Linked DNA regions of Schizosaccharomyces pombe. The gene in region 2 interacts genetically with the main gene of each other region. Each region holds a gene or a part of one and is shown on either strand. Other genes may lie near its edges.

The links. Genes that interact genetically often act in the same process or in processes that back each other up.
Region 1: mutations in gmh6 (region 2) and otg1 impair growth when combined (synthetic growth defect), as found in Schizosaccharomyces pombe (one study listed by BioGRID).
Region 3: of gmh6 (region 2) and ubp8, changing one suppresses a phenotype caused by changing the other (phenotypic suppression), as found in Schizosaccharomyces pombe (2 studies listed by BioGRID, with this or other methods).

What each region holds. Positions count from the first base shown.
Region 1 is NC_003424.3:164,325-169,849, forward strand, and holds otg1 (alpha-1,3-galactosyltransferase Otg1), read right to left. Parts: upstream 3,416-5,525; 5' UTR 3,212-3,415; coding exon 2,096-3,211; 3' UTR 1,490-2,095; downstream 1-1,489. Other genes in the region: alpha-1,2-galactosyltransferase Gmh1, read left to right, coding at 404-1,393; alpha-1,2-galactosyltransferase Gmh2, read right to left, coding at 4,486-5,525.
Region 2 is NC_003423.3:4,405,152-4,413,170, forward strand, and holds gmh6 (alpha-1,2-galactosyltransferase), read right to left. Parts: upstream 4,556-8,019; 5' UTR 4,038-4,555; coding exon 2,910-4,037; 3' UTR 2,134-2,909; downstream 1-2,133. Other genes in the region: U5 snRNP complex subunit Spf38, read left to right, coding at 1-20, 66-309, 371-666; U1 snRNP-associated protein Usp109, read left to right, coding at 820-836, 876-1,956; SPOM_SPBC1289.14 (adducin), read left to right, coding at 7,225-8,019.
Region 3 is NC_003424.3:577,864-583,384, forward strand, and holds ubp8 (SAGA complex ubiquitin Ubp8), read right to left. Parts: upstream 3,618-5,521; 5' UTR 3,528-3,617; coding exon 3,432-3,527; intron 3,354-3,431; coding exon 3,221-3,353; intron 3,121-3,220; coding exon 2,433-3,120; intron 2,388-2,432; coding exon 2,090-2,387; intron 2,086-2,089; exon of another isoform or gene 2,037-2,085; coding exon 1,972-2,036; exon of another isoform or gene 1,927-1,971; coding exon 1,857-1,926; 3' UTR 1,490-1,856; downstream 1-1,489. Other genes in the region: protein Mcp7, read left to right, coding at 658-723, 818-1,384; ysp2 (peptidase family M17 cytoplasmic leucyl aminopeptidase yspII (LAP yspII)), read left to right, coding at 4,629-5,521. UniProt on the Schizosaccharomyces pombe protein: Histone deubiquitinating enzyme component of the transcription coactivator SAGA complex. SAGA acts as a general cofactor required for essentially all RNA polymerase II transcription.

The sequences.
Region 1 (5,525 bases), on a different chromosome or scaffold from region 2:
TTCGCGAAAGTGTAATAACGGAACAAATAATAAACTTCTTGTCGGAGATTTTCTTATGTATTGCTGAAATAATTTTTAGTTTGTTTTAATCCTGTAAGAATATTCATCGTTGAGTTTACTTTTCTAGTTCAAAGCTCGCTTAACTCAACCTAAATTTACACCACGGATAAATTGTGATGTCAATATGCAATGAAGCCGCGTTGATAATTATTCAGTCATAAATATTCAATATGTTCAAGTCCAGATAATTACACATTATATCTTCAGAGGCTTCAATTTTTTACGAACAACATCAATTTTTTAAAACCTGAGCATAATCTATAATTTTATAAACGTAGTTTTCCGAAACAACGAATCACTCTTTTATTAATTTGCAGATCAAATCACTCTTTCACAAAACAAAATGCTTTCCTTTTTTACAAAAAATACCTTGACTAAAAGGAAGCTTATTATGTTAGCTTTGGCTATAGTTTTCACCTTTTTTGCCTTCGGGCTATATTTTATTCCGCACGACGAGATTTCTGTTTTTGATTTTAAACTTCCTGCACTTCAATATGAAACTACGGTGACATCTCTCGATAATTTTTTGATCGGCGGAAGCACAACTTTGTATACAGCAACCGTTAATCACGAAGATCTCAATGAACCAAAATCACATGAAATAGTAATGCTTCTTGCTAGCGATGGAAACGTTGGAAGTTTTGAATCTAACTTACTAGATGATTGCTTTAAAAATCGTATAGAGTATGCGAAACTTCAAAACTACAATTTTGAATTCGTTAACGTTTCCAGTCTGGTAGTGCCACCTGTATGGGGAAAGATGCCCGCAATTCTACAAACAATGCGCAAGTATCCATCCGCAAAATGGATCTGGTGGCTAGATCAGGATGCTCTTATAATGAACAAAAATCTGTCCTTACAGGAATTATTTCTCTCACCTGCAATGCTCCAAAAATCATTGCTTAGGGAGCAACCAATTATAAACTCTTTCGGAGAAGATAATTTCAGAATCACTCCAGCGGCTTACTCCAAGGAAATGATAGAACAAATACAATTTCTAATTTCTCAGGATCATAACGGATTGAATGCAGGAAGCTTTTTAGTACGAAATTCAAGATCCATCGCTTTACTAATGGATTTATTGACTGATCCTTCTTTGGCAGATGCAGGAGTCGTGCGTCATGAACAAGATTTGATCGGCTATTTCATTCAAAAACACTCGCAGGTAGCTTCCATGGTTGGCATTCTTCCTCAAAGATTTATCAATGCTTTTCATGAAGGACCCCCTACAATGCAATGGCAAGAAGGAGATCTAGCTCTTCATTTCGCTGGATGTTGGGTTGAAAACAAATGCGCCGAGTTATGGACTAAATACAAAGATAAAATAATTTAAAAGGCTAAATCAATGCCCAAGTGTCGGCGCGTTATAGCCTCTAACATTTTCAATTGCATTTACAGTTAATTTATTATTACTATTTATCTTTTACTTCGTTATATTAATGCCGTCTTATTTAAACATAAATGATTCGCTCCATAAATAATTATGAAGCTGCACATTTTTACAAATCTAATTAATTTTCTTAAAAAAGAATAAATTCTATAAAATGCTTCAAAAACAACCCTCTAGACATAAAGTATCTTTTTCTAAAAAATATTAATGTCTAACACTAATTAAACTATCCTGTTTGGACCTCAGGCTAGTTTAAGCATCAAAAATTGCTAAACGCTTGTGATAATAATTAAAATTGGGGTTTGTTCATAAGGTCTAATGAGTCCATAATGAAGGAGAGATGAGAGGTATATTAAAATCAACCGCAAGTCCAAAATTATATTCTAAAAATAGGCTGACCGAAAGCAAATCACCGCTAACGGGATTTATAGACAGACGCAGGTAATAAAGTTGTATACATAGCCAGCAATCAAAGAAAGCTGAAGAGATCTAAACAATGTGCGTTTAGACAATAAGGATAGCAAGTCTAAAATAAAATTATGGTAATAAGTTAAAGAAATTTTCAAATATATAACATACAATTAGATTTTAACTTCTAATTGTAAAATAAGGTCACAATACAGAAAAAAGAAAGGTATTCCTCCTTTAATGAGTTTCATACTTATGAAAAGACAGCATTTCGCCATAAGCAGCATACCAGTCAGCTAAATATACTGGTGCAAATTCTGAGCTACCAATATTCCAGAATTTTCCGTGTGCTGTTTTTAAGAGAGGACGTTCGTCAATTGAGGGCCACACGCCATTGTAATAAGGATCAAGACGAGTCCAGGGAAACCATCCGTCCAAGGAAAATGCAAGATTCAACAAGCTTTGCTCCATCATTTTGGCATTCTCATACATATAAGGAAACCTTCCGATTTTAAGTATACGGTTAAAATGAAGCTCGCTTGGACGTATAAGCATTAAGCCAGCATTGAAATAAGGAGTATCTTCTGGAGGTATACTATGATGCTCTCCTCTATCAGAGACGGCTGCGAGAAGATAAGGGTAAAATTCGCTTCGACTGGCACCATATTCTTTAAAATCCTCATTGAAGTGATAGACGGTATCATCATCAGGCTTCGTGTAGGAAGGTAGCCGTGTATAGTTCAAGGTATTAATTTGTTGGTACATATAAGGAGTATCAAATATATCATCAATGTTCTTCATGATCAATATATCACTGTCAATTACGCAAATTTTGTCAAATTGTATTTGTTCGAAAATTCGCAACTTCGAAAACATTTGTTCATATCTAGCAGATATTTCTTGACTAAATGAGGATGTATCGTATACAATATCCGATGAAGCAATGGGGTCTATAACAATCACAGAAGCACCATCCTTTCGAAAACGTTCAATTTTCCACTCATCTACTCCACGGAGTGCAAGGATATGGATAGGGTATTTACTTTTGGTAGTAGGATGATATTTCAATCGGTGAATTAAAACCCTAGTAGCGTTGAAGTAGTAATCCTCTTCAGTAGAAGGCATAGTAAACAAACTCATATACGTATATTTGCCAGGCTCTTCTTTTAAGACGGCATTATCATTTTCCTCAACAAAGTTGTTTTTTAATGAAGTAAGCCGGTCATTAAGGGTTTGCTTATAATCGTGTCCGTTAAACACTAAGGTTGTCATCACAATAATCAAAACCACAGAAAACAACAGGAATTTGTAACGCGGAAGAGATAAAAAATTTGAAAGTGAAATTCGAGACATGATAAGAGATTAATTCAACGAACCGCTGAAACAATAGAATTTGAGACACGTGAAATTTTCGAAAGCCTTAAAAAAATGAAAAAAGGCTCTAAAGATGACTCCCTTTATGAGGATGTTACCCTCTAAAATTTATTTATTTCTTTTACCCTTAAACGACTTGCGTTAACAACCCTTTAAAGAAAAAATATCCGAGATTTATGTTTCATCACGCGGGTTGCTCTGCATTTGTCAATTTATTACCAGCACGTTGTTTGTACCATGTGCCGCGCTATATTCAGTTACAGTATTGTAATTCAAATTGTGGAATTGCCTTTTACAAATCCTAACGCTTTGTTTTTTCACAATCATCTTAGTTTGTGTGTAATGGTGTCAACTTTCGAGCTATCTGGATGTTGAAAATTATGAGCTTAAGCATGTAATAGAAATTGACACTAATGAATTAATTTGGTGAAGTTGTTTCAAACAGTGAAAAATCTGACTGTTAGCTGGAAAAGTATTGGAAATACCATTTAGCTTATTGGTAAAGTAAATATTGTGTAAATTTAACGAAATATATTTTGTCGATAAATCTATTCAAATATTCTTTCTCCTTGACCTGATAGACCTCATTAATCGGAAAATGCTTCTAGGTTTGTAAAGACACAAGTGTAAACAGTGGGTGCACAGACGTAATGGAACCACCGTTAAAAAATACATCTTTTAGACTTAGCAACTAATCTATATCTTTATAAGGCCAAAAGCCAGTGTAATCAATATAAAATAAGGACATACCAATACTTTGTAGGGCCAAAAAACAAGATAAATAAAAACTTAGTATAATCCGACACGAATGATTCAATAAAACTTCTATCAGCATTTAACAGAAAATGGCAGCTGCGGTGAAATGCAAATTATTAAAAAGATTTATTAACGCCAAACTGTTATTCCAATCTTCAATATTGCATTGGTAAATTGCCAAAGCAAATTAGTTGAACCAACAGAAACAGCTTCAAAGTCAATGTGAAATATATACAATATATAACAATTATTGATGGACGATTGTGTAAAACAAAACTCCCAGATATCTCGCTATAAAAAACTAACCTGAAACTTTGATTGCTATGGCACAACCGCTATATTAATTAGGTATGTAAAGATTAAAAAATAGTAAACATTATTAGAGATTCAGATAAAGAAAGGAAGATTGACGGAAAATTATACGGCGCTTTGTTTATATATATAAAATTTTTTAAAACACAAACAAATTAAACAGACGGATATAATGAATAAGCAACTTAGTCAATCAAGGCGTAAAACTTTTGCCATAGTTCATCGCAGCGGTTTTCAACCCAACATCCAGCAAAGTGAATTACCAAATCACCTTTTTGCCATTCCATATTTTCCGGACCTTCGTGAAAAGCATTTATTTTTCTTTGAGGAATAAGGCCAACCAGCGAAGCAAGTTGTGAATGCTTAGAAATCAAATATCCAAGCATGTCTTGTTCATTATTGGCTTTCGCACATTCTGCAACAACAGGATCTGTCCAAATATCCAAAAACAAGGCAGTAGCAGGTGAATTACGGAACAAGATACTACCTGCGTTTAATCCATTGTGATCCTGTGAGATTATGACCATGAGATTTTCGATATCTTTTAAACTATAATTACTTGGTGTATAACGCAAATCCCCGTTAGCATTTATAGGCCGTTTAGTGAGGATGGTATTAGTAATTAAGGTCTTTTGCAAGTTCTCAGGTTTCAAAAAGGAGTCTTGAAGGGAAAGATGGGTATTAGTAATAATTGCATCCTGATCCAACAACCAGATCCATTCCGCTTTGGGGTATTTCTTCATAGTTTGTAAGACGGCGGGCATCTTGGACCAAACGGCGGGAATAGGGAGGCCAGTAACATTGACATACTCAAAGTTGTAGTTTTGTTTGGTACTATAGTCAACTCTGTTCTGTATAGCTTCTTCAAACGTATTAGCTCCATTATTGTAAGAAGTGTGTCCATCACTAACTAGTAATAAGACAATATTTTGACTGGCAGGATTTTGCTGAGGCTCTGACTCGTATGACGCCTCGTGGAATGTAGTGCTTGTGGCCACCAAATGAGAGTCTAACGGCGCCAACTCAAACGAGTGATTAACGGATGGAGTGCCAATAGCATCGGAGAGCATGGGTGCAATTTGCTGATCATACAACTGGTTAACCTTCGACACCAAATCAACGTCCACAAAATATATCAACGAGTATAGAAACGCGCCAGCAATCAAGCCGACCGTTAAAAATAAGAAAAAAAAACGACGTGGAATCCTGGATAACATAAGTGCCA
Region 2 (8,019 bases):
GTGATGATTGTACTATGAAGGTATGGATATTGTTATTAAAATATGGAATAGTTACTAAATTTAAGGTATGGGACTCGCGGTCAAAAGACTGCATAAAAACAATAGAAGAAAAATATCCCTTAACGGCTGTCGCAATAGCGCAGCAAGGAACCCAAGTTTTTATCGGTGGTATTGACGGAGCTATTAAAATCTGGGATTTACGAAACAATCACTGCTCGCATGTTCTGAAAGGGCATAAAGATATCATTACTAGTTTGGCTATATCTAAAGATGGATCTAGCTTACTTTCTAATTCTATGGACAACACGGGTATGCTAATTTTTTTTGGGTGTTTGATCAACCTTTGTACTAATGCTATTTTAATTTATAGTTCGAATATTTGATGTAAAACCTTTTGCTTCTGCTCAACGACAGTTGCAAATTTTTGAAGGAGCTATTCACGGACAGGAGCATAATTTGTTAGGTGTTGCCTGGAGTCGTAATTCACGATTCGTTGGTGCTGGTAGCTCTGATAAAAACGTATATGTTTGGTCAGCCACAGGCGATTTACGTTATGTATTACCCGGACATGAGGGTTCAGTAAATCACGTTGACTTTCATCCACATCAGGACATCATTCTTTCATGTTCCTCAGATCGAACAATATTTCTTGGGGAATTGAATTAATTTTTATTTCATGAATAATTTTTCAATAAACATTAAATACTATTAAAATTTTCTGTAGAACTTATTATTTGACGATCTTAGTTGTCAAGCCTGTTATAATTCCTATAACTACAAGTTTCTTAGATTTCGATTAATTATCAAATTATATGCGTTATGAGTACATCTTTATGGTAATGATACATCATCTAATCTTATTTCTAATTAAACAGGTTAAATAACTTAGAAGAATGGATGAATGAGGACTATATTCGAGCAATTTTTGAAAATGTTAGAAAAGTAAACTATTATGAAGATGGCGAGTCGGGAGCTATTTTAAAAACTTGCTGCATTGAATTTGAGAGTCAAGATGCTGCTAGGAATGCTTTAGAAAGGCAATCTACTCAACGATTAATATCTGGGAACCCGATCTCTTTAGATGTGGTTCCTGAATGGCAAAAACCTAGTTACTATATGCTTTTCATTAGTAACATTGATCCAGAAGTGTCTGAAAATGATATAAAATACTTGTTTCAACGTTATAACTTTATTTCTGCTCGTGTTCTACGTTGTGTTGACGGGACTTCAACTAGCATTGCTTTCATATGGTTAGCTAATGAAAGTGATATACAAAACGCGCAGGTAGAGATGCAGGGTGCCTTTTGTTTAAAAAGATCTATATTAGTTCATTCCGTCAAATCCGATAAAAATACTTACTTAAGTTCGCCTGGGTTTTATGGTACACCTCAACCACTAAATCAATTTACTGATCCAAACAATACAGCAGTTTATGTTCACCAACTCCCCGAAAATATAACGACACAAGAGCTACGATCATATTTCCTCCACTTTGGTGAGATTTTATACACTCAAGTCAATAATAATAGTGGACGCATAGTCTTTGCTCAACGATATTTTGCTGAGCAGGCAATTAACGAAATGAACAATTTCCCTTTGCATGGTGTTAGGATTCAGCTTTCTTGGGCAAGGCCCCCTTCGATGGCTCTTTTACCTTCCAAGCAATCTACGTATTGGCCGGCCCTTGCTGCTCCTGTATATCCCTCCATGAAGGATGTACCTAACAATCCCTTTACGCCGTTTTCTCCCATCAACCCGTATTATGCAAAATCCTGGAATCATACTGCTTCAGCACCTTTGCTTCCTCCAGGTTTAAAAAATGGTTCTGACTATCCTTATCTTTCTGTACCTCCCGATATTTTGAATGATAGTTATCTGGCAATGTGTGAAGCCGTAAACTCACGTTTAGATGCTGAATCAACTATGCTTTTACCCGTGCATTACTCACAAGCTTAAGAAATTAGCTGCAAGGCAATGCATCATTTGGTAAAGTAAAAGGATCTTAATCCAATATAAATTTTTATTTGTATAGCAAATACTGTGTCCTGCAAAAATAATTATTTTATAATCCATCGGACCTTTGGTCGAATATATTCTCTAAATTATTCTTGATAGCAATTGCTTATAAGTATACTCGTCGTTTATTAAAAGGTGTTTCAAATGACAAAAAACAAAATGGGGGGTTTGATATAACTTGAAATGCTAAACTAATATAACAAAATGGATTCTAGATAATATGTTTAAACCCTTATTACAATATTCTACAAGGCATTCATATTCTGTTTATCATAAATTTTGGACTGCTGAGACCTTCAAGTTAAACAATGCTTGAACGATTGAAAGTTATTTATAGAGCATCGCTCTTTCTGGCTCCGGCAGCTCTATTTGTCTCATAACGTTTAATCAATGAAACCGATAGCTGTCCTACTTGATTCAATTACCGCAATCAAAGTTCTGCTAATCTACATTCAAAACAAGTTGATCTTGGACAAAGATTCAAAAATGAATTTTGAAATTTCACGACTGATGAAATTGTCCTCGATTAGCCAGTAATTGCTTATTGAACATCCTTTTGGATATAAAATGAATCAAACTCTTTAATTAATCAATTAGGAGTGCTTATTAATTTAGTGAACATAAGCGTCGCAAGAAGATTAAGACTGAATTATCCGACTGTATCGTAAATGCAAGGTTAAGTCATAGTGAAAGCTGGGAACCATGATCATGCTAGGTCAATTGTATGCATTAATTTAAATAAATAATAACCAGTAATATAATAACACCAACCGATCGTACAGATGAATAGAGTAAATATTATATTTACAATTAGAGTTATATAGCACTGATCATTGCATAGATTAATAATAGAATAAATATAAAGCACTATAGCAAGAATAACAAGGTATTGATTAAGGTTGAGGGAAAAGGCGTTGTTCAATATATTCCTTTTCGGATGGATCGAACCAATCATGGCCTTGCTTTTCTGTGATAATCTTGCCATACTTTTCAAAATTTTGTGCACATGTCTGAAAGACAAAGCACCCAGCAAAATGAACACATAAATCACCGTCTTCATATCCCCAAGCAGGATCAGAAGAATCATATGCGTTTATTGAACGAAGAGTAACTAGCCCAACATGTTTATGCACAATGGGATGACTATATATCATATGAGAAAGGGCTTGTTGTTCGACAAATACACCATTATGTTCTTTATAAAGTGGTTCATTCCAAAAATCCAGCATCCATGTTCCTACTTCAGAATTCCTTATTAAAAAACTGCCAGCATTAATGCCATTAAAATCTTGAGCAATGATAAAATGTATATCATCAGGGTCTTGATTTTTAGGTGTTCGGAATCCTTCAGAGTCAATGCCAAATCCACTAAAATATTCGGTGTCGCGCAATAAAAGAGAATTTAGCTTTTCATGCTTCAAAATGTGATCAACCAGATTCAAATCACGATTCATAATTAAAGCATCGTGATCCAACCACCATACCCATTCAGCATCTGGATATTTTCTAATCACATTTTTAATCATGGGAATTTTAGCCCAAGGGGCAGGCTTGTCGCCAATTGAAGGTTTGTACTCATCTAAATCTAAAAATTCAAACTTAAAACCATGACGTTCTGCATAGTCGCGGCGATTTTTAATAATCGTTCTAATATAAGGATTTAAGGGTGAGGAAGGGTCATTTTGGGCATTGGAACCCATCAAAAGGACTATCTTAGAATTTTCAGGATGAGGATTAAGTGTGCTTAACTCTTGAGCTGTGGCAGTAACCGTTGGGGTTACTGTCGTAGTTTCTGTAACAAAAGACGTAGATGTAATCGTTTCGCTGACACTGGTGTGTAATGGCTCTGTGTAAACGATAGTAGTTGTTTCGTAAACTGCATTCAAAATTGAAGAATGTTCATTTAAGAAAAGTTGTACTTTCTGGTCGAGCCTAGTACCAAGGGTAGCATTCCACCATACTCCAGAAATAGCAATTATGCTGAGGATCACTGCTGGTATAACATAAGAATACCAACGCATTGTAAGTATGTAAGAGAAATTAGAATTGACCAATCCTTGGATAAATAAATATGTTCAAAGTAATGAAAAAATACCAATGATAATAAAAATGATAGCGAAGAAAAGAAAGAGCGGTGTAAATATCCTTCTTTAAAAATTGATGCAATAAAAGCTAAGATTTCTTATAAAATACTTAGCCTAAACTAAGATGTTAGATAAGTTCAGAATGTGAGAGGTAGATGTTCGTAGGCACTTCACAGCACACACATGCTCACAATAGCAGGCGAGACAATTTAAAGTACCTTTTTAATCTTATCGTTTACTAACACCAAAAAATATACCCTATTTACCCAAAGCAATAATCACCAAGTGTCCTGAAAGAGTGTATGTCAAATATAATGAACGTAGCGGTAAAGTGGAGATACAAGGTTTTATAGAGAGTGACCTATAAAAAATAAAATAAACTTTCGACCGATTCTCGTGTTACCATTCAGTTAAGTGCTTTAGAGGAAAGCTACTAAAACTTTTGATGTAGTTATAATGAAGGGAAGGAAAGCATGTACGCGTTGAAATTTAGTACATTTCAAATAAGTATATACGCTATGACTCACTATTCCTTATAATATATTAGCATAACTACACTACGTAATATGCGCTACGTTACAGTATCACTATATGCCATATGTTGGATTATCAGTTAAGATATGTTTATCAATAATTATATATAACTATCTTTATACACATGGATTCCCATTGTTAAAATATTTTAGAAAGATTATTAAATAGAGCTACATGAACTGAGGAGCGAGATTTAGTTATAAGCAGTATTAGTGACAGGTAACTATATAACCTACTTAACAGAATACCTATACTTATGGTACTTATATTATCTTCTTATTGCAATATAATAGATCACAAGGAAAACTCACTGCAGTACTATCGTTAAAACAGATACCAAAATGCATCGCTAACTTAATAAATATCGTAATGAAGCAAGAAGAATTCTCGATATATCAAACGTTTGTGATTAACGAGATTCTAAACGTTGTAAAACCTCGTTATACTTCAATTTTGATGCTTTTTCTTCTGCTGCATTGGCAAACATTTTTCTGAAGTGCTTGGATTTTTAAATTAAAATGCAAAGCGTCGCTTTCAATTTATCGGTTTCACTTTTTATTGTTGTATAATTTTTTGAGAAGAATATTAGTCTAACCTTTAGTTTGCACAATCGGAATGTAAGTATCAATAAATTAAGATTCTTTAATATATCTGTTGGAATCGTTCTTTTTTTTTTGGATGCACTACACCTTAAATTTTTAATATATATGCGATAATTGTACTCAGAAAAGCAAATGATAGCATTTTGGAATTCGCTTCAGACCTTACAGAGACTATTCAAAGTATTCTTGGAATTTAAGTTTGCAGCTTCGAAGAAAGTCGTAACTATTTTCTAGAACTGATTTTTTATTTCATGATAACGTTAAAATTTGCCCAGCAATAACTGTATTTTTGTGTACTTTACCAATAGCAATTTAGATTTTAACTAGCAAATCAAAGAAATATGGAGTTGTTGTCCTTCTCCATGCTTAATATTGCAGCCATATTTATTCTTTACTAACTCATCACCTAGCGATGTTTCGATTCCGTGTCTTTAGCTAAAAAATTGTTATGGTATAAAGATTCACGGATCGGCCGTTAAAATTATTCAATTACTTAACCAATAGAAAGGCCCCAGATTCGATTGCTATACCACTACATATTCGTTTACAATAATACAATATTACGGTTGAAGTATTTTTAAACAGCCAATCATTTTTTTTATTTTCAAAGCAATTTTGTTTAAGAGAATAAGACAGAATATTATTTCATAGTAAAAGTATATAATTATATTCTAATATACCGATATTGTAATGACGATAAATTATTTTTTAAACTAATTTATGGCATGTTGATAAAGCCAATGAAGGGACTGAGTAAATTGTATACCTCAAGCAAAAATTCGCTAAGCAAACGACAACTTCATCATAACCTGATGTTGAGTATGTTGTTGACGAGTAATCCCTTGTTTAATTTTTGTAAAACAACCGGATATCGGAAATATAGCAAAGGGATGAGAGCGATGGTACAAAAGTTGAGGTGCCACATTGGAACAATATTTAGTCATTATCCGAAATTTGTTATCCGTTTTTTAATTCCGGATGACATCTAAATGAATTGGGAGTTAATAGCCACTGACACGTACACTATAGAGTTAGTACTTGATTAAAAAAAAGTAAGAGAAATAGAGCAATCCTCAACCTTGTTAACTTTTCTTATGAGGTGTTAGCATTAATTCTTGTGTTCAGTCTTGCGCTCATGTCCGTTACTTGTGTAAAAATGTACGATATGTCGTCCCATATTAGTAAATGCCATGAATTATCATCCATCACTGATACCAAAATAAACGGTGATGATGAATTCAACAAATTCAAAATATCGTTATACACTGGTACTCATAGCTATTCTGTTTCCCTAGTGGAACATGTTATTCTCTTTCCTTCTCATATCTCTCGTAATGTGACGTCAAATTATAATATTCGTGTAACGAAACCAATCAGCAACCAGCCTTTCAATCAACCAATCACATAATACCTATATGGTCGAAAAATATGATAATATTGCTTTAAAAGTCATAATAGTTTTGGATGAGCGAGTTCAACTTTCAAGCTAGTCATTCAATTTAACGTTTTAATATAATTTACCTAATTTTTTTTAAATATAGAGAATGAATTTATGAATGAGGGGCATATGGTTGAATTTGAGATTCTATATATCGCATTCGAGATTTAGTAATATTGTAGCATTTCATTCTAGATTAACATAATAAATCACACACTAGCATGCTCTTGACTACTCTCTTACGCGGCAACGTAGATAACGTACATCAAAAATTTTACATTCGAATGGTGTTTTATTACGATTAGTTTAATATTTCGGCAAAGCAATTTGAATTTCAGTAAATGTAAAGGATTCTAGGCACTTACTATGACGTTGAAAAATAATATAAATATAAGCTTGCTTTCATTAAAACAACATCGTTAGCGAATAAATTCTAATTCACTTTTTCCTTCATTTGAATTTTTATTCTACTACTTTAAAGGTCTTTCATTAACATAACGACTGGCTAGAACTGCATTTTAGATTGCTTACCTTATATCAAATTCCAATTATGCTTAGCAAAAAATTTACCCCTTTGTCTTTGAAAAATGCAGCAAAATGCATAAATAATAGTTTGCGTTCTACTTATGCAATTACTGGAGTAAACCTTACGAGAGGACTAGCCACAAATTCAAAAGTTGATCCTAAAACCTACGCTCCTAAACCGGAATTTAGCTCGATTGCCGTTCGTGAAATGCTCCGAAAGTCATGTCTGCATGAATTCACTGATGAAGAGGTTGCTACGCGTATTGAGTTAGCTGCGGCATATCGTCTTTTTGGTTTAGAACATTGGAATGAGAATATTCTAAATCATTTGACTGCCAAGGTTGAGGAACCTGATGGAACCGCTTCATTTCTGATTAATCCTTATGGTTTACGATATGGTGAAATTACCGCTAGTAGTCTTATTAAGGTTGATGAGGATGGAAACATCAAACATCCTGGTGTTACGGGTGATGTTTTTGGCATCAATCGTGCTGGCTATGTTATACATAGTGCGATACACAGGGCTCGTCCAGATGTGAAGAGCATTATGCACAATCACTATCCATATGCTGCTGGCGTTTCATGTGTTAAACATGGTTTCCTTGAGCTTGCTCAAACTTCACACCAATCTGGTCCTGTCACATATCACGATTATCATGGAATTGTAGTTGACAAAGGCGAACAAAAGAGTTTGGCTGAAGACATAGCAAACAAGGATATTTTGATACTTCGTAATCATGGAATTATTACTGCTGCCGAGTCTGTAGGTGCAGCTTACTATTTAATGTATCAATTTTTGGCCGCCACGGAAATCCAAACG
Region 3 (5,521 bases), on a different chromosome or scaffold from region 2:
CGAACATGGCACACCGGTTAATACCCAGCCATAGTTGAAATTAGTAGACAAATTGACTGAGTATCTCTTATCAAAAGTCAATACACATTTTGTTTGCGCTGACATTAAACATCGTTGCTCTTATGAATGCTATGTGTGTGTGTGTGTGTATGTGGAAATGTGTTAGTCAGTCAGTGTTTGCTTGAAATTCGCTGTGTGAAAATAATAAAGTGAAAAATAAATAAAAGGTTGTAAAACCGAATTCGTACAGTAAGGTGAGCGCCGACAAAAGCTCTTGAGAAAAAAAAAATCATGCTGCTATCAGTATTCGAGTCTTTTCGATTTCGTGGCAAAAGGAAGTTTTCCTCACATGTTTTTGTGCGACAATAGCCAACCCCATTCACTTAATTCCTTAATTTCCTCAAGGGTCAAAAAGATTAGGATAGCTGAATAACGTTTTGCATTGCATTATGTTGCAATACGATAGTAAGACATTATAGGGTATATATCATAGTTGGAAAGTGCGGATGTGCATTTTAGCAGACTACGTTATCATTCAGTAAATGTTTGGGATCTAAACTCTCATTTCTCCAAAAGATTAGAAAGCATCTACTTCTTGCATCACAACAAACTTTTAAACTCCATATTTGTTCAAACTAATTAATAAATTTTTAAACAATGCCTCCCAAGGGACTATCGCTTGCAGAGAAAAGAAGAAGATTAGAGGCCATTTTCCATGACTCTGTAAGTTCGTGATATGATTGTTCAAGTGCCAAAACATGATTTTTGCCCATTCGTGTCTCACTTTCCACATTGCTAATCTATGTTTTTTTTATAGAAAGATTTTTTTCAACTAAAGGAGGTGGAAAAGCTGGGCTCTAAAAAGCAAATCGTTTTGCAAACTGTAAAGGACGTTTTACAGTCTCTCGTTGACGACAATATCGTCAAAACGGAAAAGATTGGCACTAGCAATTACTACTGGTCTTTTCCCTCCGATGCTAAACGTTCAAGAGAGTCAGTTCTCGGATCTCTTCAAGCTCAACTTGATGATTTGAAACAAAAATCTAAAACTTTAGATGAAAACATTAGTTTCGAGAAATCCAAAAGGGATAACGAAGGAACCGAAAATGATGCCAATCAATACACTTTGGAACTGCTACATGCAAAAGAATCAGAACTAAAACTTCTTAAAACACAACTTTCAAATTTAAATCACTGTAATCCTGAAACCTTTGAATTAAAAAATGAGAATACTAAAAAGTACATGGAAGCTGCCAATTTGTGGACCGATCAAATCCATACTTTGATAGCTTTTTGTCGAGACATGGGTGCCGATACCAATCAAATTCGTGAGTATTGCAGCATTCCAGAGGATTTGGACGATCTGCAACTACCGATTTTGTGAACTTGACATGCTTCCTTAATTCAAAGAGTTGTTTTCCTTATTAATATTTTAAAATTTTATACATTTTAACAGTTACATATAAAATAGCTTACTCGACGACAAGACTTAGCTTTTAAAAGATAAAATTATAATTAGTTGGAATAATATTAAACGAAACAAAACAAAAGTCCAAATTCCTCAAACTTATAGTATTTGTTAACTTTGAAAGAAAAAAAGCATGTTTCTTTTTTTATAGTTTTAACTTTTTTTATAAATTTACGTAAGGTCATTAATTAAAATGCGACTGTTGTAACGGTTCCAAATCCAATGCCATTTCTGGCCTCAACAATATGAAATCTAAAAGCTTCTTCATGAGTTAGATTATCGAAGTGATGATGTTTCATAACCACATAAATAAGGAACCTTTGAGTCAATTACTTTACATGGTTCATAATGATTGTTCATGAACGGATATCTGATCGCATAATCTAACTCAATTTTCCGTTTTAACAGTCATTTCATCACTGTATAGGATTTGACGCTCATGGTAAAATAATAGGTAACTATAATCTGGTTAGTATGTAAAAAAATAACAGCAAAGAGCCTACGCTTGAGAATTTAAGACCTCCGATTCCTTTACTTCCACAATTGTGGTGTCATCCAGCAAAAACCACTACAAAAATTAGTAAAAATTTCCATAAAAAATTCAAAAAAAATTTAATATACTTGATTTTGGTAGTATGTATAGGCAATATAGTGCCCTGTGTCGAGAGTTCCTTTATGACACACAACTGAGTATAATTGATAATCCACATCATCTTGATTAAAGTTGTAGCGCATTCTTAAAAATGCTGGATAAGATACTTGCTTATCTATTTTAGTTGACATGGCAAAGTTATTTTGTTCAAATCGTTTCAATTGCATGCAAATAGTTGGAGGTAGTTTGTCAAAGACCAATTGTTTAATAGCATTTTTTGACCCGCAACTATGACAGCTATATTGAACTTTCTCTTTGGAAACAAACCTAAAATAATATTTGTTAAAAAATCTAAAAACGAGCAAATTTTACCTTTCCAAACATCCTTGAAGTGTTGGCTCATTGATGTCTAAACTAATGTCCATCAAAGGATCCACAGCCACCCGCTCCTTCTTGCAATCTAGGCATGTAACAACGTTTTTCAGAGATCCACTAAAAATACGATGAATAGGACAAGTGCACGGCATTGATGTTCCTCCTCCGCTTTCCGTATGCATTTGGTCCAGCAAGTATACAAAAAATTCGTGGCCATCTTGCTGGGAGTAACCACATAAAGATTTGCTGAGTTTCCACATAAGATTTAAGACAGCAGTGGGACCGTAAAAAGTAGATTTGTTTTTAGAATTATAAATAGATGAAAACATATCGTCAATGGCACAAGTCATGCAAGTAGGTCGCTTACAATCAGTAGAAGTATGAAACCCACTGAAAAACAAGTTTCGAACCAATGGATTATGCAAAATACTTTGTAAAATGACGCTCATGAAACAAGTAGCACCCAAGTTCTGGATCCCCCTCAAGCCTGCTGTTGCGCAAACTGGAGGGTATTTTCGATAGGCTTCTAAGCAAACCATTTGATTGTACTTCTCGGGAAGTCTCTTGTGATCACTTTGCCATGCCTTGATATTCTTGATCTTAAAACGAAGGGTTTCCAACTCGGTCTGATAAACGTAGTCTTGACAGCCAAAGCAGTAGGTATGGCCATTTTTTACATCCACGCCTAAGAATTAGTAATTGGTATTCGGGAATTGCATCCTAACTCGATATTCGCAAAAAGGTTTCGTTGCTAAATCAATAGCTATGTTTTCAACTAAACGTACCGATCATATGAGTGTGCTCCATTGCGTGTTCTTCACCATGATGTCCCCAAAGACATCCCACAGAATGACAACTCAAGCATCGAATACTCCGCTTGTTGATGCGTTTGCAAGTACTGCAGCGACGTGGGACAAACTAAATGAAAGAAATGTTAAAAGGAATCGAATGGAAAAAGAAAATTGAACTGTATGAAGTGTTGTTCACAAGCCTTACATGACAACTGAATATCTGGGTACAGATCTTTTGATAGTTTTCAACATCCGCCGGTTTAAGTTTAAGATGCTGGCAACCTTCTACATCCCCAGGCATCCTTGATACGTACAAAATTGGCCTTTCAGACTAAAAAGCATCTGCTTCGATGCAGGGTGAAACGACAACAATAGACGAACTCGCTATTCTGGCAAAAGAACATTATTTCTCTTTGCTTAAATTTGGGCAATTAAGGATGCGGTGTACAGCGTTAAGAGCCATAAAGTACTCATAGTGTCTGCACTACTAGATACCGATTTCGTATAAAGAGCTATCATAGCTACGCTAAGTCAATTGATAAAACACCAAAATAGATGTTCTTCGTAGTTCTTGAGTGTCCTTGGTTTTCCTCTTTAAAACATAAACTTGGTAAATTCCCATAGATTTGGCTGTTGAGTCACTGCAAAATAAAAAAAATTACTGCTAGTCCTTTAATCACGGTTGAATAGATGAAATTGTTAATTTTTTAAAAGCTTGGTCAAATTAGACTAATGCCTCTATTAACGTCGAACGTGTTTAAGTGTACGCTTATGTTTGTTGCCATGAAACGTTTGCAGGGCTAAATATAAAACCATATATGACTATTTACCGTGAGCATCTTTGTAATACAACCGAGTCACTGCAAGCAGGTACATGTACGAAAATTTTTGTCTATTACATTTGTATAGAATTTATTACTTAACAATTGACTAGGGGCAGATTTTTGTGCCGAAACAGTTTGTGTTACCCTAAATAGAGATTGTAGGGCAACAATACGTCTGCAGAAGTTCAAATATATATGTAGCAAATGAGTGTGACTTACTTAAAAATTGGTTTTTGATCAAGAAATAAAATCCTTTGGTGCTTTTTCTTTTTTATGTCTAGCCTTGTTGAATGTATTTTTCCATCACAATGTTGATCTTGTCTACTCAATAACACACTAGACTATGTTAAGTACACTTGCCCTTGCCCAATCTGCAATCGGACATCGTATTTTATTTTTGCATACTGAATTTACGTGTATTCGTAGTTTCACGAGTTAACGATTTTCGAATATCCAACTCTCATTGAACTTATAATAATCCGTAATCCTTTACCTTTTTTTTGATTACAAGTGTCTAATTAAGTTTTCTAAATCAAGAGAAATCAAAGATACAAGCAAAGCTTTTTTTCTTACGTACAATGAAGGGTTTAGGTCTAAGTACGAGAACCTTTAATTGGAGCTCACTTTCTTCCATTCTTTTACCAAGAATTCCTTTAGCTACTACAAAAGCCGATTCCTTGATTTTGGCTGTTCGTCACGATAAACAAGTTTTTTCTGAAGATTATCGACAAGTTGTTGACCAGTATTTTGAAACATCTCCCAAAAAAAATGACATTCGTCTCTTTTGGAACACTCAGGGTTTTGTTCGTCTTGCCATAGTCCAGCTTGAAGAAAACGTTTCTGAAAAGTCCGTTCGTTCAGCTGCTGCAGAGGCAGCTAAGATTTTAAAGTCGAATGGTGCAAAGTCGATAGCTGTCGATGGTATGGGTTTTCCCAAGGATGCTGCCTTGGGTGCTGCCTTGGCCACGTACGATTTTTCTCTTCGTAGAGACCATTTGAGCGTCTATCAAGATGAAAAGGTGGTTGAAAAGGAAAATTTATTTACCTCTCCTGCTCCTGAAAGGTTAACTTTCCAATTGCTTAGCAACACATCTGAGAAGAAAACTGCAACCGCAGAGGAGAATGCTTTTAAGGTAGGTTTGATTGAAGCAGCTGCTCAAAACTTGGCTCGTTCTCTTATGGAATGTCCTGCTAATTACATGACTTCTCTTCAATTTTGTCATTTTGCTCAAGAGTTATTCCAAAATTCCTCAAAGGTTAAAGTATTCGTTCACGATGAGAAGTGGATTGATGAGCAAAAGATGAACGGTTTACTTACCGTGAATGCTGGTTCCGATATTCCACCTCGTTTCTTAGAAGTACAATACATTGGTAAAGAAAAATCAAAAGATGATGGATGGCTTGGTTTAGTTGGAAAAGGTGTAACGTTTGACAGCGGTGGTATCAGTATCAAGCCTTCTCAAAACATGAA